Linked DNA regions of Oreochromis niloticus. The protein of the gene in region 2 interacts with the protein of the main gene of each other region in a pairwise test. Links are inferred from orthologs where the notes say so. Each region holds a gene or a part of one and is shown on either strand. Other genes may lie near its edges.

Region 1 (7,617 bases), on a different chromosome or scaffold from region 2:
GATTAGCTTCCAGTAGTGCATTGCATTTCCACATTTACGCTGTAAATTTTAATAGACAATGTCACTGATTATTGCGACAAAGCCCTGCAGCCCTAATTGGCTTCAACCATGAACGTATCCTCATGCAGTCAACATGTTAAAATAGACAAATAAAGAGCAAGACCAAGCATGCTTACAGTTTTAACCTGCTACTACACAAAAAAAAGGAAGAAAAAAGAAAAAAGGGATGGCCAAGATTTTTAGTTAATGCACCTATTGTGTTCATTTGAGCATCACCCTATCGCACTGCCAGGGGGTGACGATAACACCAAAGTTATCGGCTGAGGGATAAAAATTTAAAGTAAGGATTCCACTTTCTTCAAATAAAAACTAAAGTCGGGCACATGATAGAACAAAAGTCTGATATACATTTCCCCCCCCCCCCCCTCATAATGACAGTCTCTCCTAAGATGATTAAACTGAAGTTTTTCTTCCTTACACCCCCCCCTCCCCCCCCCCTTTTTTTTTGGGATACATATTCACATCCTCAATCCACCAGATTATTCCAGGAGAGCAGTCTCTATTTAGAGCCCAGGTTAAATCTTTCATCACCGTTGTCTACAAACACTCAGACGTACCTCTTCTCTGGCTTGAACGAAGGGTGTGGCGTTGAGGAGATGATGCCTTCGGATGCCGCTCCAGCGAGTCCTGAAGTCTGTGACAGGCTGACATGGTTTCACGTATTTATCATACAGTACGTTCCCATGATAGTCCAGGATGCTGCAACGGGCCAGCTCGCTACAACGTCCTCCAGGCCCTGTCCCCACCATCTCACAGTCCAACGCCACCACTGTGGTCGGGCAGGAGCTGAAACACGGCGAACTTCGACCGCTGGCTGGAGGACTGGCTTCAGAGGAGAAGCCACTGTCCATCTCCCAGCGGTCTCCAAGGGCCGCAATCACAGAGTGGTGGTTAGCTGTTCCAGACCCTGATGCATGTTTGGATAGATCAGTGCTTTCAGAGTTCAAAGTGCTTTGATTTTCCTGGTCCGGAGCGCTCATTTTAGACCTTTTGATCAATACGCTTGTATCAAGTGATTCATGGTGGGCGGCCGTCCTTTTCATCTTCATGTTGGCGATTATCCTCTTTTCCTGATGCCTCTTCCTGGCTCTTGCATTCTCCATGGCGCAGAGCACCATGGCTTTTTTACACAGATACCGATAATTGCTGAGAAGACCTCGTGAGGAGGCTTTTCTCCTGTTTGATGACTCCGCCATCATTGATTCGTGAAACAGTTTTCACAGTCATGTCTGAGGAAATAACACAAAAGTCAGGATAGTGATCACCATTATTTAAAAATGTGGCTCATCATGAACTGCAGATTATTGAGATGACGTGAAAATGATTTTAAATATTGTTAATGAACTATTCCTGTACAATGCACAGTACATGGGGACTGACAAGTCGTTAGCCGGATAGCATATCCTGGATAACCTGAGGAATACACCAGGCACAAATTACCTACCAGATTTCCCCTTGTGGGACAATTAAAGGATTATTCTATTAACAGCATGTTTCACATGAGGTTAGTTCCATCCTTTGCTCGGCTTCCCTCTTTATCTGCTTTTTACACAGCATCAATAGAACCAGTGACATGAAGCAGGTCTGGTGGAATCACAAGCACCATCTTGGGAGGAAATGATTGGCTAAGGCCAGACCACACCCAGTGCAATTCCTAATACTAATACAATAACCAGAAATTCAAATTTCATCTGGAATGACCTGAAACTAGAGACTTTGAACATGATGGTTTGAGCATGAGCAGGAGAGTGGATATCTTGGAGAAGATGAAGCTGCAAGGCAGGAGGAAAAGAGAAAGACCACAGAGTAGATTAATTATGTAGTGAAACAGGACATGCAGAGAAAGGGGCTGGGGTGATAAAAGAGGATCCAAGGAATAGGGTGAAATGAAGGGAGATGTGGTGATCCCTAAATGGACCAGATCACATAAGGGATGAATGAATTAATAAATGCAAATGTAAGGCACTTTGCGCACTTGCTTCGCTTTTCAGACCCATAGGCTGTATCGATGTTTTGCAAACAGTCTGAGGAATTCTTGATGTTTTTAGGATTGGAAAAACACCCAAAGAGGACTGTCCCTGCATAGTCGCATTTTGGTACACCTGAAAGTGAATTTTAGCTAATGCGAAAGTAAATCACTTTGGTATAGCCCCGATTTTTACTTCATGCACTATGAAGACAGTAAAGCAAAAAAGTTTGAGACTAACGTATTTGATACCACCTGAACATCGTAATTCTCCAGCCACAATAATCTTGACACGTGGCCATACATACGGGTGCCTTTAAGGGCCACATACCTGACAGTAACACATTACAAACAGTCCATAAGTGCAGAGTTTGACTCTTCTTAGTGGCATAAATGTGATGGCGGTGTCAAGTTAAAGTTTAAAAACCTTTTCCTCGCTAGTCTTCATGTTAGTCATGAACTGGATAAATAATGGATCCAGCATACAATTCAGGCTGTATATACAAAACACCCATCATCCAAACATCACCCGCCTGGATGATCAGGATATGGCGAGGCCTTGATAGATTGTAAAAGCTTAAAGTTGTTTACAAAAACGCGCTAGGCACTTTTGAAATCAAACACTAGCCGGCAACATTTCAGAAAAAAAACGAAGCTCATGTACGAAGAATTTGCATGCGACTAAATTCAGCTGGAAATTCCACGTATTTAAACAGTTTGTCTCTCAGTTTGATTATAAAAAAAACAAACCCAGCGAGCCGTTAAAAATAAGACACAACGCCCCTTGAGATACATTACAGCATAAACGACGTATTTCTGAACGCTGACAAACACAAGAAGGGAAATGAATTGAGAAAAAAGAGGAAAAAAATCTTACGTTACCTTCTGAAGCAGCACGTGTAGGGTCTGAACATGCCCGGACAAATCTCCTCTACTCTTTAATCCCATTGGCTCAATCTCTTCTTCTTTAGTTTTCTCAGACAAACTCACTTGCGGAGTCGCCGCCTATTGGTTGGGTGCGTACCCAATGAAATTCCCATTTAAAACCAGCATTATGCTTTGTCCAATAATGTCTTTGTCTAATATTAGACTTTGTTTGATGATGTAAAACATGTAAGCGTGACAAATATTTAAAAAAAAATAAATACACAAGAAAAGTCTGAGAATCCATCAGTGTCTTCATTTCCTCCAGATACTCTGGGTTTTTGGTATTTGCAGCAACATTATATCAGTTTTTTATGGGACTGTAGCTGCTCTCTGATCTCCTACTGGAGACGATAAAGTGATCTTATCTTGTATATTATACACGGTCCGTTATTCAGACCGCTGCCAAAAACACATGAAAAAAAGACTACAGATTTTAGCATTAGCTACCTGTAATATAGACTAAGGGTTTGGAAATGTCCCATTAACAAAACACCTCCCTTTCTTTGCACTCAGTGGAGAGGTACTAAATCTGAAATAAATCTCATGTGAATCCCACATTATTAACTGTAGGACTATAAATGTCCCCCTTTACAAAATGTGGTGGCATTTTCCCCCTTTGTGATGGAGTTTGGAATCCATCTCAATTTTAGCTTCCATCTAATCAAGGTTAACATCTAGATTTCCAACATGTGAACTGTATCCCCCCCGAAAAAAAGCTACAGTTCAGTAAATATCAGAAAAATGATGTAGATGCACCGATTATTTGGCTTATATTTATAGTATTTTGTGATAGGGATAACTTTCTCCAGCCCAAGGCAGGCTGGTTTAGTGATATTTAAGGTAAATATAACCAAATAACTCAAATTAGGTTTTACATCTTCAAAACCCCCCCCCCCAAAAAAAAAAAAAAAAAAAAAAAAAAAAAAAAAAAAAACCACACAACACCACAAAAGCCTGCTTAAGTCTCAGTTTCACTACAGATACATCACTTGTTCACATTTAGCCACCAAATATTAATTTCCAATTAAAATGATCATCTATGTCTAAGTGTGTGTCAAACAAGCGTTTGAGTTGATATAGAAAAGACTTCAGAGTTCATTTTGGTTTTGTGGGCCTTTTTATTTCACAATCCTTCCAAATGTACAAAATCAAAGGCATGTTACAAAAAAAAAAAAAAAAGAAAAAAAAAAAGAAAGAAAATTTCACCATTACCGTGATCCCCTTTGATGACAACAACAAGAAACTAAAGCGACAGATGACAGGCTGTATCAAACCAAAGTGCATCAGCCTGAGGTGTAGTAGACAGACCAGGGGAAATAGAAATCTCATGTTTTAAAAAGTCATCCCATCTTCCCTAAAAATTGGTTTTGAAATATTGGGCAGACCCTGGCCAAAACCTCTCCACCTTCCACAGCATTCCCAGCACAACGAGGACCTAAAGGAAGGGCCACGTCTTTGACTTCAGACCATTCGGTAGTTCACTAAGAGAGGAATATAATTTAGTTCTTTTTCTTCCCCAATCCTCCTGTTGTGGTGGTGGAGGTAGGGAGGGGTGCTGCTGAGTTCCTGTTTGGAGCTTTTATAGCTCTGACTTCTTCTTCTTCTTTTTCTTGGGCTCCTCCTGCATCACCAGCGGGTTTGAGGCCTCCCTCTTCAGGTAGGAGAGGAAGTCGCTCACCTCGCGACCTCCCTGCAGCGAAAGCAGAGGGTTCATCAGCAAAGCACAGATATCACTTTGCTGCTGTGAACGGCACTTTAGCAGACACTCACCTCATATTTCTTTGGGCTCAACTTGCGTCCAGCTGGAGAAAAGTAGATTGTAGGGAATCTAGAACAGAGGTTGAGGACAAAGATTATGATTTCATGTATCAAACTGCACAGGTGCATGCATGTTAACCTGAGTTCCTTCACCTTTCCCAAAGTCAAGCTTCTTACATAGCTCACAGCTAATCATAATCACAGTCTGTAATTACGCTTCAGGATGTCTGCTGTTTCATGTGCAATGTTCAGCTTTTCCCCCCCTTTTATCTGTGATGAAGATATGTAGCCCAAGGCAGGCTCTGTTTAACACTTATCACTCGAGGGAATACAGGAACAGTCTCCAAGTTATGTTGAAGGGAACATACTGTATGCTCTGTCACCATGGCAGACACATATGGTCTTTAAATTCACTCTAATGTCACATACAGGGGGGGCGAACCATAAAGCTTCATTTTAATTAAAATAAAAACAGTCCAGGCCTTATCGTCACATTAAATGACTCAGCACTCACCCGCTGACTTCATATGGAGATGGCACATCATTGGCTGTGGCATCCATCTTGGCAATGACGACGTTGGGATCATCGGCCAGCTTTAGAAACAAACAGGGCAAATTGTTAAGTTTTTGCAAGACAGTTCACTAAACCTTAACATCCACACGTTAGACTAGTCTACAGGCTGGGTGATGCAGGCCAGAAGAAGAGCAAGCTAAACCTGGAGGTCACATGACTTAAAGCCACGTTCTGGATAAGTTAATTAAGAACGTGTTATTGTTTTAATGTGCAAGATCTGAACAAGCAGCAGGTCAGGATCGCTCCCTCACCTTCTCTCCCAGCTCTGTGTATTTGGGCTCCAGGCTTTTGCAGTGCCCGCACCACGGAGCGTAGAATTCAATCAGCACGTCTTTGCTGTCATCGTTAACGATGGAGTCGAAGTTCTCAGCCACCACAACCTGAAGAGACATTGCAGGTATTAGAGCCGGTTCTGTACTGCAGCCATTTTTCCACCTGAAGTACCCAGAACTTCCTCCACTCAAAGGCTATTGTCTGTTTCTACTAATGTGCTGATGCATACTCAGTAACCCAGATGAGGTAAGATGATGAAATCATTGCTTCCAAATGAACTGAATGATCTTTCTGGTTTCTGAAAGTTTTTGACCTCTGATTCACTACTTTTGTACCCCACCAGCATCGCAGTCTCTCACTGATCCATTTAAACTATTCTTTAACCATCTTTCCAATTTGTTCTGCTGTTCCCAATCCAGAGTGCTGGGTTCCACTATTAGGAATAATTTAACTGCCCGATAGCTCCTGCAGTGGACAAACGGCCTTAGGCTTTATCTCTAGTCCTAGGCAACAGTAAAACTTAATCTCCATTAAAGCTGTCAAAACATGAGGCGAGAGTGTGAAGGGAAGGGGGTGGGGGTGTGTGTTGTAGACTGATTATACGAGTTGTGATTATGCGCTGTCACTGAATTAAGCAGAGTATCCAGGATAATTGCACATCCTCACGCTGCATTTATTCATCGTTTGGCATCAGTGTTTGTTTGTCAGCTCACTTTTTCCCAAGACTGCTGGTCTCAGGAAATACGGTTTCCTGTTCTGAATATGTATGACAGAGGCAATTTACTTATTATAGCATGTTAAGCACAGAGCTTAACCCATCCGCTGTTGAAATCTTTCAAATAAGATGTAGCCTCTAAAAAGAAAGTTGACTTAAAGGCAGTTCACTTCAGAGACTGGATGAACTAGGCAACTGCACTAAACCTCAGCATGACGATTATTTCTTAAATGAATCAAGCAAAGCTACTCCAGCCGAGGCAGAGAATAAACACTCGCAGCTGTAAATGATTCTAGGCCCCCTTTAGGCTTAATGTATATTTAAAAGCATAAATCATGTCCATGATACACAAAGAAAATGTTTAGTACAAATCTTACAAGTGTCAGGAGAAATTGATCTCACCTTAACAGGTCCATCGTTGTTCTCTGGGATGGGTTCTGATTTGAGATAGCGCTTCAGCTTGCCATCAAAGTAGTCCTGCAAGAAACGCTCCAGAGCTTTTCCATCACGACTGTTGAAAGAGATTCAACGAGTCAGTAAAGTCACGATTCTCCTTGAGGTGGAAGTCATTAACTAGGCACTGTTCTTTTAGTAAGTTCCTCATCTACTGATTAGTTTCTTAGGCAACAGAGGTGGCAATCAGACACTACACGATACAAGACCACCACATTTATACATTTTGATATAAGGCAAGTTTTGCAATAAATACTTTTCTCAACAACAAATTACAATTTTAATCTTTGTCAATATCCATTTTATCCAATAAGGTCAATTTCTTACTTCAGATATGCTGCAAAATGAGACAGAGCTTAAATGCAGTCCCCAAATACTACTATCTGTAACTGAATGGGGGTCAAATTGGCAATTACATGCAGTCAGTTTCTGATAATACAACTGTGATAAATCATCAAAGCAAACTGTGTTCAATGTTGGATGCTTTCAGTCGAGCCAATTTAAGCCAAGTCTGCTCAGCTAACATCATCTCAGGATGGTGGTGCATGAGATGAGCGCTCTTGTTCATTATATTCCCAGATTATTCCATTTATTTCATAACATATCAATATTTGGTGTCCAGTTTTTATACAGTGTTGCCACACCATCACGAAGCTATACTGTTTAGAGTTATACTCCATGTAGCAAGGGTTCTACTAAATCCAACTAGCAACTTGTGATGTGATGTGTGTGTGCACTGGTGGGGAATTGTGGTGAAAAGTTGCCCTGGACTTACGAGAACTCCTCAGTCATGGTGTATTTGTCTCCTTTGGCGGTGCGGATGGCCACCACAGGCAGTTCGCCACTGGGATTCAGGCCAAACTCAGACAACTCGTGGTTGAACATGTTCTT
Region 2 (7,234 bases):
TCTGAACTGTAGTGAAGCGGGAGCATGAAGCAAACTGTGTGTCCGGCAATTCACATAGCCGGTTGCTTTCCACCGCTGGTGACGTTTCACCTTGAAACCACAACCAAATATCCTGCCCCCCGGCGAACAGGAGCTAGTGGAAAATCTGTCCGTAACCTCCAAACATGTCCTAGTAGCGGCGAGAACACAGGCAAGGCTGCAGAAAGTTTCTTTGCAGCTTATGATTGATGTTTCAGTGAACATCCTGAGACTGCATCACATGTTTTTTTGAGGTCATGTGCTATTTCCTGTTGCTCCTGACCAAAGACTGCATAAACAGTCTAGCAGTAAGCCTGTATATCCACCATCCCAGACTTTATTCAGTTGTATTGTCAGTATTTTCATTTAAGGACCACATGGGATTGAGAAGCTGCTAAGCCTCAAAGAATTTCTACCTGCTCTGTTAAAAGGGGAAAAAAATCAGCAGTTGCCATATTTTGGTATGAGAATGCGTTAATTTGATTACACTGGAAAATATCAGCTCTTGGAAGAGCATTTGCATCATCCTTCCAAAAACAGATGTCAAGCAGCTGCAGTAAAAATGTCCAAAAATGGGATTCATATTCCCAATTTAATCTGACAGCGTTAGAAGCTGCGCATAACCAAAAATTATGCACGTAGGAGCCGAATGAAGTTCTTTTTATTGGCCTGACAGGCCGAAAAAAGAAAAGAGAAAACAGCAGAAATGGATTAGAGAAATAAAGAGGCTGCGACCGGCGTTGTAACTAATGTCATCGAACTTTCCAGGGAGAGAAAGCCTCTTCCAGCCTTAGTCATAACCCAACGGAGAGTTTATAAATCTCTCGCCTGCTGCAGATTTAAAATGTCTAAATAACGTACACCCTGATATTTCCACATCTCGCCACTGCATCATGAGACGGCTGTATTTTTCCAGGCGAAAGCTTGAACACGGAGGGCGCGAGCAGCCAGTAAAACTTATTTGGGCATGCAGTTGCCGAGTCCTGCCAGCAGCATATAGCAAAAGACATAAAACTCCAACCGAAAACCTGATGTAGACAAACTGTGCTAAGTGTTCATAAAATATCTCCAGCCAGGGAATGTTTGACGGAGAGATTAAGGAAGGCAGAGTGGAGCTCTTTTTAAAATGGAGGGCAGCCCTGCTTCGAATGCTTTCCCTGTAGCGTTACTGCATTCTGACATATGCCTTCTGTTTTAATCACAGATAGAAAAATGAGCTTCCGATCATTCCCAAAGCGCACGGAGGTCAGAGGTCAGGCTCAGCTTACGTGAAGCTGATGGGAATTGGGCCTTGTACTTCTTCTCTATGGCACTCCTTTTTAGGTTTGAAGGCTCAAAAGCAGGGAAGCCAATCTCATTTTACATAGTAGGCCACATATAACCCACCTTGATCTTAAGTGGGCTGAACTGGTGAAACTGCCCTTTCAGTCAGTGTAAAGAGATTTAACTACACATTAAATGCCAGAGATGTCTTAATATAGGAAAAGGAAGTGTAATTTCAACAGCATGTCTCAGTTTTTCCACACGATAAAGAAATGTTGCTTCAGTTAATGAAAGAAATCTGTCAGCACGACTCTTTGGGTATACATTGTAAGAAATAAACGTGTAAAATTACAGAAACAGTTCTAGTATCTCACTGCCCAGACTGTCCTGTAATTATAAAATAGAAAGTTTTATTAATTTATAGTCCTAATATTTCCTTTTCTTCTTATTGTTACTGTACTGTTGAAACATTGTGAAAAAGCAGAAACTTTAACTGTAATTAAATGATTAATCTATTACTTAATTACTTTGGTACAGTATGAATGATCGGGGGTGGGGGGTCTTTATTACCTGTAAAAGTCTTAAAATGCATTTAAAAGTCAAAAATTTACACCCTCCTTCATATTTTCTAAAGCTATCCAATCAGCCAGACTGGAGTCTTTGCCAGACTGATTCTGGCCCCCGGGCCTTATGTTTGATACCTATGCTCAAGAACATAGTTCCTGCTGGGTGATCAGAGGGAACATGTTATCTTCAGCTTTAAAACTCCTGCTGTTACAGCCTCACTGAAATAACCCTGAGCAGTGCCCTTTACTGTGCAGCATAATCCAGCCTAATACAGTCACATTGTGTGTCATAAAACATAAACCTAATTATGATTAGCCAACAGTCAACACTGTTTTATGGAAACTCCAACTCTGTCAGAATATCATAGAAACACATATAAATGAAGGCTAAAACTCCCAGTCTGCATCAGTTTCACTGGACAACACCACAGTAAAATGTACTACCACAACAATAACAATAACATCACAAATTAATTTTCCGGCAAACCAAAATCTTGCTTCACCTCCTGAACCTGTAATAACAGGAGCATGAATTACAGTTTTGTGACCCTGCGTCAAGTGTTTCACTAGAAGGCAAACTGAGGTTTAATCATGCAGGGAAATAAGTGAAAGGACAATCAGTCAGGGCTGATTATACAGCTACAATGAGGAATACGCCACTGCGATGTTTTAGGTGGACACCGAAGATTGTCCTTGTAAGGATGTTTAACTTTCATGTTTCTTATGGAAAAATTCTAAAATGTGTAAAATATCAAATGTGCCGTTGATAAAAATTAAGAATGGGAATTACTTGTGTTACAACAGGATCACAATATTTAGTGGCAAGTTATTCTGTGATACTCTATACATTATAAGACAGCAGCATTATCTGTGTAACAGGGAAAATGACACTTGTAAAATGGGAAAAAAAGAAAATATGTATTAAGTTACTGCATTGTGATATTAGTGTGCTTACTTTATCATCATAACACAGTTTTAATATTGTATGTTACTTAATATGGTGTCAGTACAATTAATCAGTTCTCTAAATCACTTTCATTTTTTTTTTCTACTATAACTCAGTTCACTTTACTTTCTTTCTCCAAAATGAGTCATGAAGTTCTAATTCTATTTAGCCAAACTGGTGATATTTGGCATATCAATAAGTTATAACAAGAAGGATCCATGTAATATATTGCTGTATGGATATTTTGTCCCACCCCTACTGGTATTGCTAAAGACAGACAGTAATAAGGACATAACTGAGCAGCTAATACAATAAGTGAAAAGAACAAAATGAATAAACAGATTCACAGACAAGCATAATCTAGAAAACAGTAAATAATTATTTCTAAAGGTTTAGGCTGATTAATTTGTTTTATGTACACAAATATCTTTTTGTGGACTTTCCATTTGGGATTATCTAGTTTTAACATAAACCACTTAATACTCTTAATGCAGTGCATGTTAGTTAGTTAAACATATAACAGGTAACCACTGTGTTTCATTAGTGCGTATTAACTGCTTGTTTATACACTTTAAAATAGCTTATGCTTGTTACCCATCTATTTGTATGTTTTTTTAAATGGAGATTTGATTTTAATATGACTAGAATATACTTGGATAGTAAAATAATATTTGTAGTTAGTATTACTGTCAAATATTGGTCATATTTTCTTCTTTGAAACTGACAAATCATGATTAGTGCTTCGAATGTGGTTCAAATTATTATAAGGCCTACTGCTGCTGCTAATACTGATGCGACTACTAGTAGATATTTTAAATAAAATCTATGTGAGAATTTTAAAACAGTAAAATCGGTAGAAATATAAGATTAACTGACCTAATTTTGGGTCTACAGACTTTTTAATCATTTATTTTCAATAAACTGCTATTAATACAGTGTGTAGTGTCCCCATGACCATTAAAATTATTTGATTTTATCCATAGAAAATTAAGTAAAAACTAAACTAAACATAACTGTACAAATAAGTCTTCTCAGACATTTCAAGATGCCCACAGGGACTTTACTATACACTTACTCGTATTAAATTACTAATTTAAATTTTGCTAATCCTGCCGTTCAGCCAGTATTTTCCCGGGACGTTGTCGTAATTTTGCCAATGGCGCCATCTTTCGGATCATATAGTAAATGACGCTTTATCCGAGCGACTGTCCTACGTCATAACTATGCGCCAGTCTCTCTAGTCTCGACAACGTGACGAAAACATGGGGAGTCAGTTTTCCTTCTGACAGATAGTTTCTTCTTTCTGAGGTCCTCGCGCCACTTAAACCGACATTTGAGAGTCAGAGTGTCATTTTGAAGCTTGCTGGGAGCTGCAGAGCGCGAGGCCGTTCAAACGTCACGTGAACCGAGCTTTTTTTGCGGTTGTTTTGCTAGCAGCATGGATAACTCCGAGGAAAGTGCCATTGAGCTCCACGGGGATGAGGAAATTATTGAAGTCATCGACCTGAACGACACGGAGCCTGGCCCAGGTGGGTCTCGGCAGCACCTGTTCCGTCTCCTCTCCCGTGACAGGCGGGGCAATAGCAGAGATAGATCAGGTGACCGTCATGGGCTGTGCTCTTTCTCTCGCAGATGATTTGGCTGATGACTTGGAGGACGTCGACTTCGATGACGCGGGAAACGCAGGTGATGACAATGACGGCTGGGAGACTGAGGACGAGATGGAGGCTGAGGCAGAGCAGGACGACAGCGATCTCACCTTCTCCAAACACACCGGTGAAAACCTCCCTCGTGTCTCTGCTGCTGCTGCTCTCTGATTACTCCTGGCTGCTTAAGGTTTAAAAAGGTCTGACCCCCTTTTTTTTCTTCCCAGGCTCGGTGTTCTGTGTGAGTTTGGACCCAGCGACCAACAACTTGGCTGTGAGCGGAGGGGAGGATGATAAGGCCTATGTTTGGAGGGTGAGCGATGGGGAAGTTCTGCTGGAGTGCGCAGGTGAGTGTAGAGATCAGAGATGATCACATAAAGCTTTTTACCATGGCAATTAAAACATAAGCACCAGCACAGCATGGTTAAAAGAACAAAATGTGTGAGAGTTTAGTTACAGTTTGATTTGGCTTCGTTTGTGGATGCAGGCGGGGAGCAAACATGGGTGTCTTTACAAAAACCCTTCCTTTCCTGCTTTTCCAGACTTAAACACAATCCTGGTATTCTCAAATAAAACAAAAACAAAATAAAATAACAACCCCCCCCCGGGTAATTAGCATTTCCAATTACTCTGGGAAATAGGCATCATAGCAGATGCTAACAAGGGTGGGAGAAAAAATTGATACAGCACAGTATCGCAATTCTTTTTTTTTTTTTTTTGTATCAATTTGGGCTTGGCTGTGGCTCAGAAGGGTGAACAGGTTCTGTATGTCCAAGCTTCCTTAGTCAAGATGCTGAACTCGAAACTGCTGCTGGTGCATCCATCAGAGTGTGAGTGAAGGCAAATCCTCAGAGGCAGACTAAAGCTCTGTATGAATGTGTATGTGAATGGCTCAATGTGGCTTTGTGTGCTCTTTTGGAGTAAAAACGCACTAGTGCATTTATTTGCATAGGCCTGAGCACTGTGTTGACATCAGCCATGTGTGAAATGTGTCCACACGAGTATTTTCAGATTGTTTACATAAAGCTGTGGACACACTGTGATGTCTCAAATGGGCAGGAAAATGGCCAAGTGTCTTTTCTGTCGACCTCAAGCAAAATGGGAAAAAAATCATCATGTTCATTAAGCTGCTCTTTGCCCTCTGATCCTACACAGGTCACAAAGACTCAGTGACGTGTGCCATGTTCAGCCATGACTCCTCCCTGGTGGCGTCCGGAGACATGAGCGGCTTGATTAAAGTCTGGAAAGTAGAAACTAAAGAGGAGATCTGGTCCTTTGAAGTGGGAGATCTGGAGGTAAGGGTATGACTCTGTGTGTGTCTGTGTGTGTGTGTGTGTGTGTGTGTGTGTGTGTGTGTCTGTGTGTGCGCGCACCTCTGTGGGCTATGAGAGTGCTGAAAGAATTTATAAGGACTAAAGAGAAGATGATTGCTCTGACTGAGAATCTGTGTGAGTTGCTCTTTTCTCAAATTGTACAACCTACAGTGATTATAAAGTCCAGTAACTTGCCACTACAAACAAATGCAGTGGAGGAAAGTGTGTGTGTGTGTGTGTGTGTGTGTGTGTGTGTGTGTGTGTGTGTGTGTGTGTGTGTGTGTGTGTGTGTGTGTGTGTGTGTGTGTGTGTGTGTGTGTGTGTGTGTAATAGCTGTTGCTTTCTATCTCAGTGGTTAGAGTGGCATCCCTGTGCTCCTGTGCTGCTGGCGGGAACGAATGATGGCAGCGTGTGGATGTGGAAGATCCCCGCAGGAGACTGTAAAACCTTCCAGAGTCCTGCCTGTCAGGCCACCAGCGGCAAAATCCTCCCTGATGGTGAGAGATGGGATACAAAAAGTCACCCCAAACAGTACCCCCAAAACCTCCCCACTTTTAACCACCTACAGTTAGAAAATTCTGTGTGAAAGCAGCTCTTGCCGTTATTTTGTATGCTATAATTTTATGGATGTGGTTTTAAATGGATAAAACTGTCATTTTGTGCACTGTTTTACCTTTAATGCTCCTCAGTTCTCAAAAGTCATGTAGTATTAGGGCTGTGCGATATGACCAAAATTTCATATCCCGATATAAGGCATTTATCGTCCCAACAACGATGTATAATAACAAAAATTTTACATTTTCTGTAAATTCTGTGAATCTCGGGCAACTCAACTTGCCTGAAGTGCTTTCAGCTGGGCGCCGTGCGTTACATAAGTTGAAATGGCCTCAATTTTCTTTGTGAGTATTTATTACACGGCGTGCTGCGGGGAAAAGCCTGTTCTAAGCTTTATTTATTTTTTTTACCACCTGACGGCTCTTTTTAGCTTCTCATGCGTAAACACTCTGCATTCTATTTCACTTGATTCAGTTTATTTTGAAAAATCTCAACAGGATCTTCAGCTTTATTGTGAAAGGTTTATGTGGAAAATAAACATGCGGACTGCGGAGCCACGCGATGGTTTTACCGTCGTTGTTGCTAATGACAACGCATAAAAACAATCGCTTGTCCGTCTGTAGTGTGGCTATATTAGATATAAGAGGAAGAGAGAACTTAAGGAAATTATACAGTGACCATCAAAACGATGAAAAAATATTGCCCTAAACAGTTGATTTTGCGACACCACGAAACAAACGATAGCGTAATATGAAACGATAGACGTTTTCATATCATCATCTGATATATATCGTTATATCGAACAGCCCTATGTAATATATATTTTCTCTTCCAGGTAAACGGGCTGTGGTGGGTTATGAGGATGGAACAGTACGCGTGTGGGACTTGAAGCAGGGAAATGCTATCCACGTCATTAAAGGTGGGTCT

Evidence for each region.
Region 1: the proteins of aamp (region 2) and apoptosis-enhancing nuclease interact in binary tests that used the Homo sapiens proteins (3 or more experiments, as listed by UniProt). The link is inferred for Oreochromis niloticus from reciprocal best matches to the Homo sapiens genes AAMP and AEN.

Annotation. Positions count from the first base shown.
Region 1 is NC_031972.2:43,593,053-43,600,669, reverse strand, and holds the start of apoptosis-enhancing nuclease, read right to left. Parts: upstream 3,060-7,617; 5' UTR 2,909-3,059; intron 1,290-2,908; 5' UTR 1,260-1,289; coding exon 618-1,259; intron 1-617. Other genes in the region: pdia3 (protein disulfide-isomerase A3), read right to left, coding at 4,533-4,643, 4,724-4,781, 5,226-5,305, 5,537-5,665, 6,676-6,784, 7,502-7,617. UniProt on the Homo sapiens protein: Exonuclease with activity against single- and double-stranded DNA and RNA. Mediates p53-induced apoptosis.
Region 2 is NC_031986.2:14,259,630-14,266,863, forward strand, and holds the start of aamp (angio-associated migratory cell protein), read left to right. Parts: upstream 1-4,008; 5' UTR 4,009-4,231; coding exon 4,232-4,322; intron 4,323-4,425; coding exon 4,426-4,569; intron 4,570-4,666; coding exon 4,667-4,786; intron 4,787-5,594; coding exon 5,595-5,734; intron 5,735-6,104; coding exon 6,105-6,249; intron 6,250-7,142; coding exon 7,143-7,226; intron 7,227-7,234. UniProt on the Homo sapiens protein: Plays a role in angiogenesis and cell migration. In smooth muscle cell migration, may act through the RhoA pathway.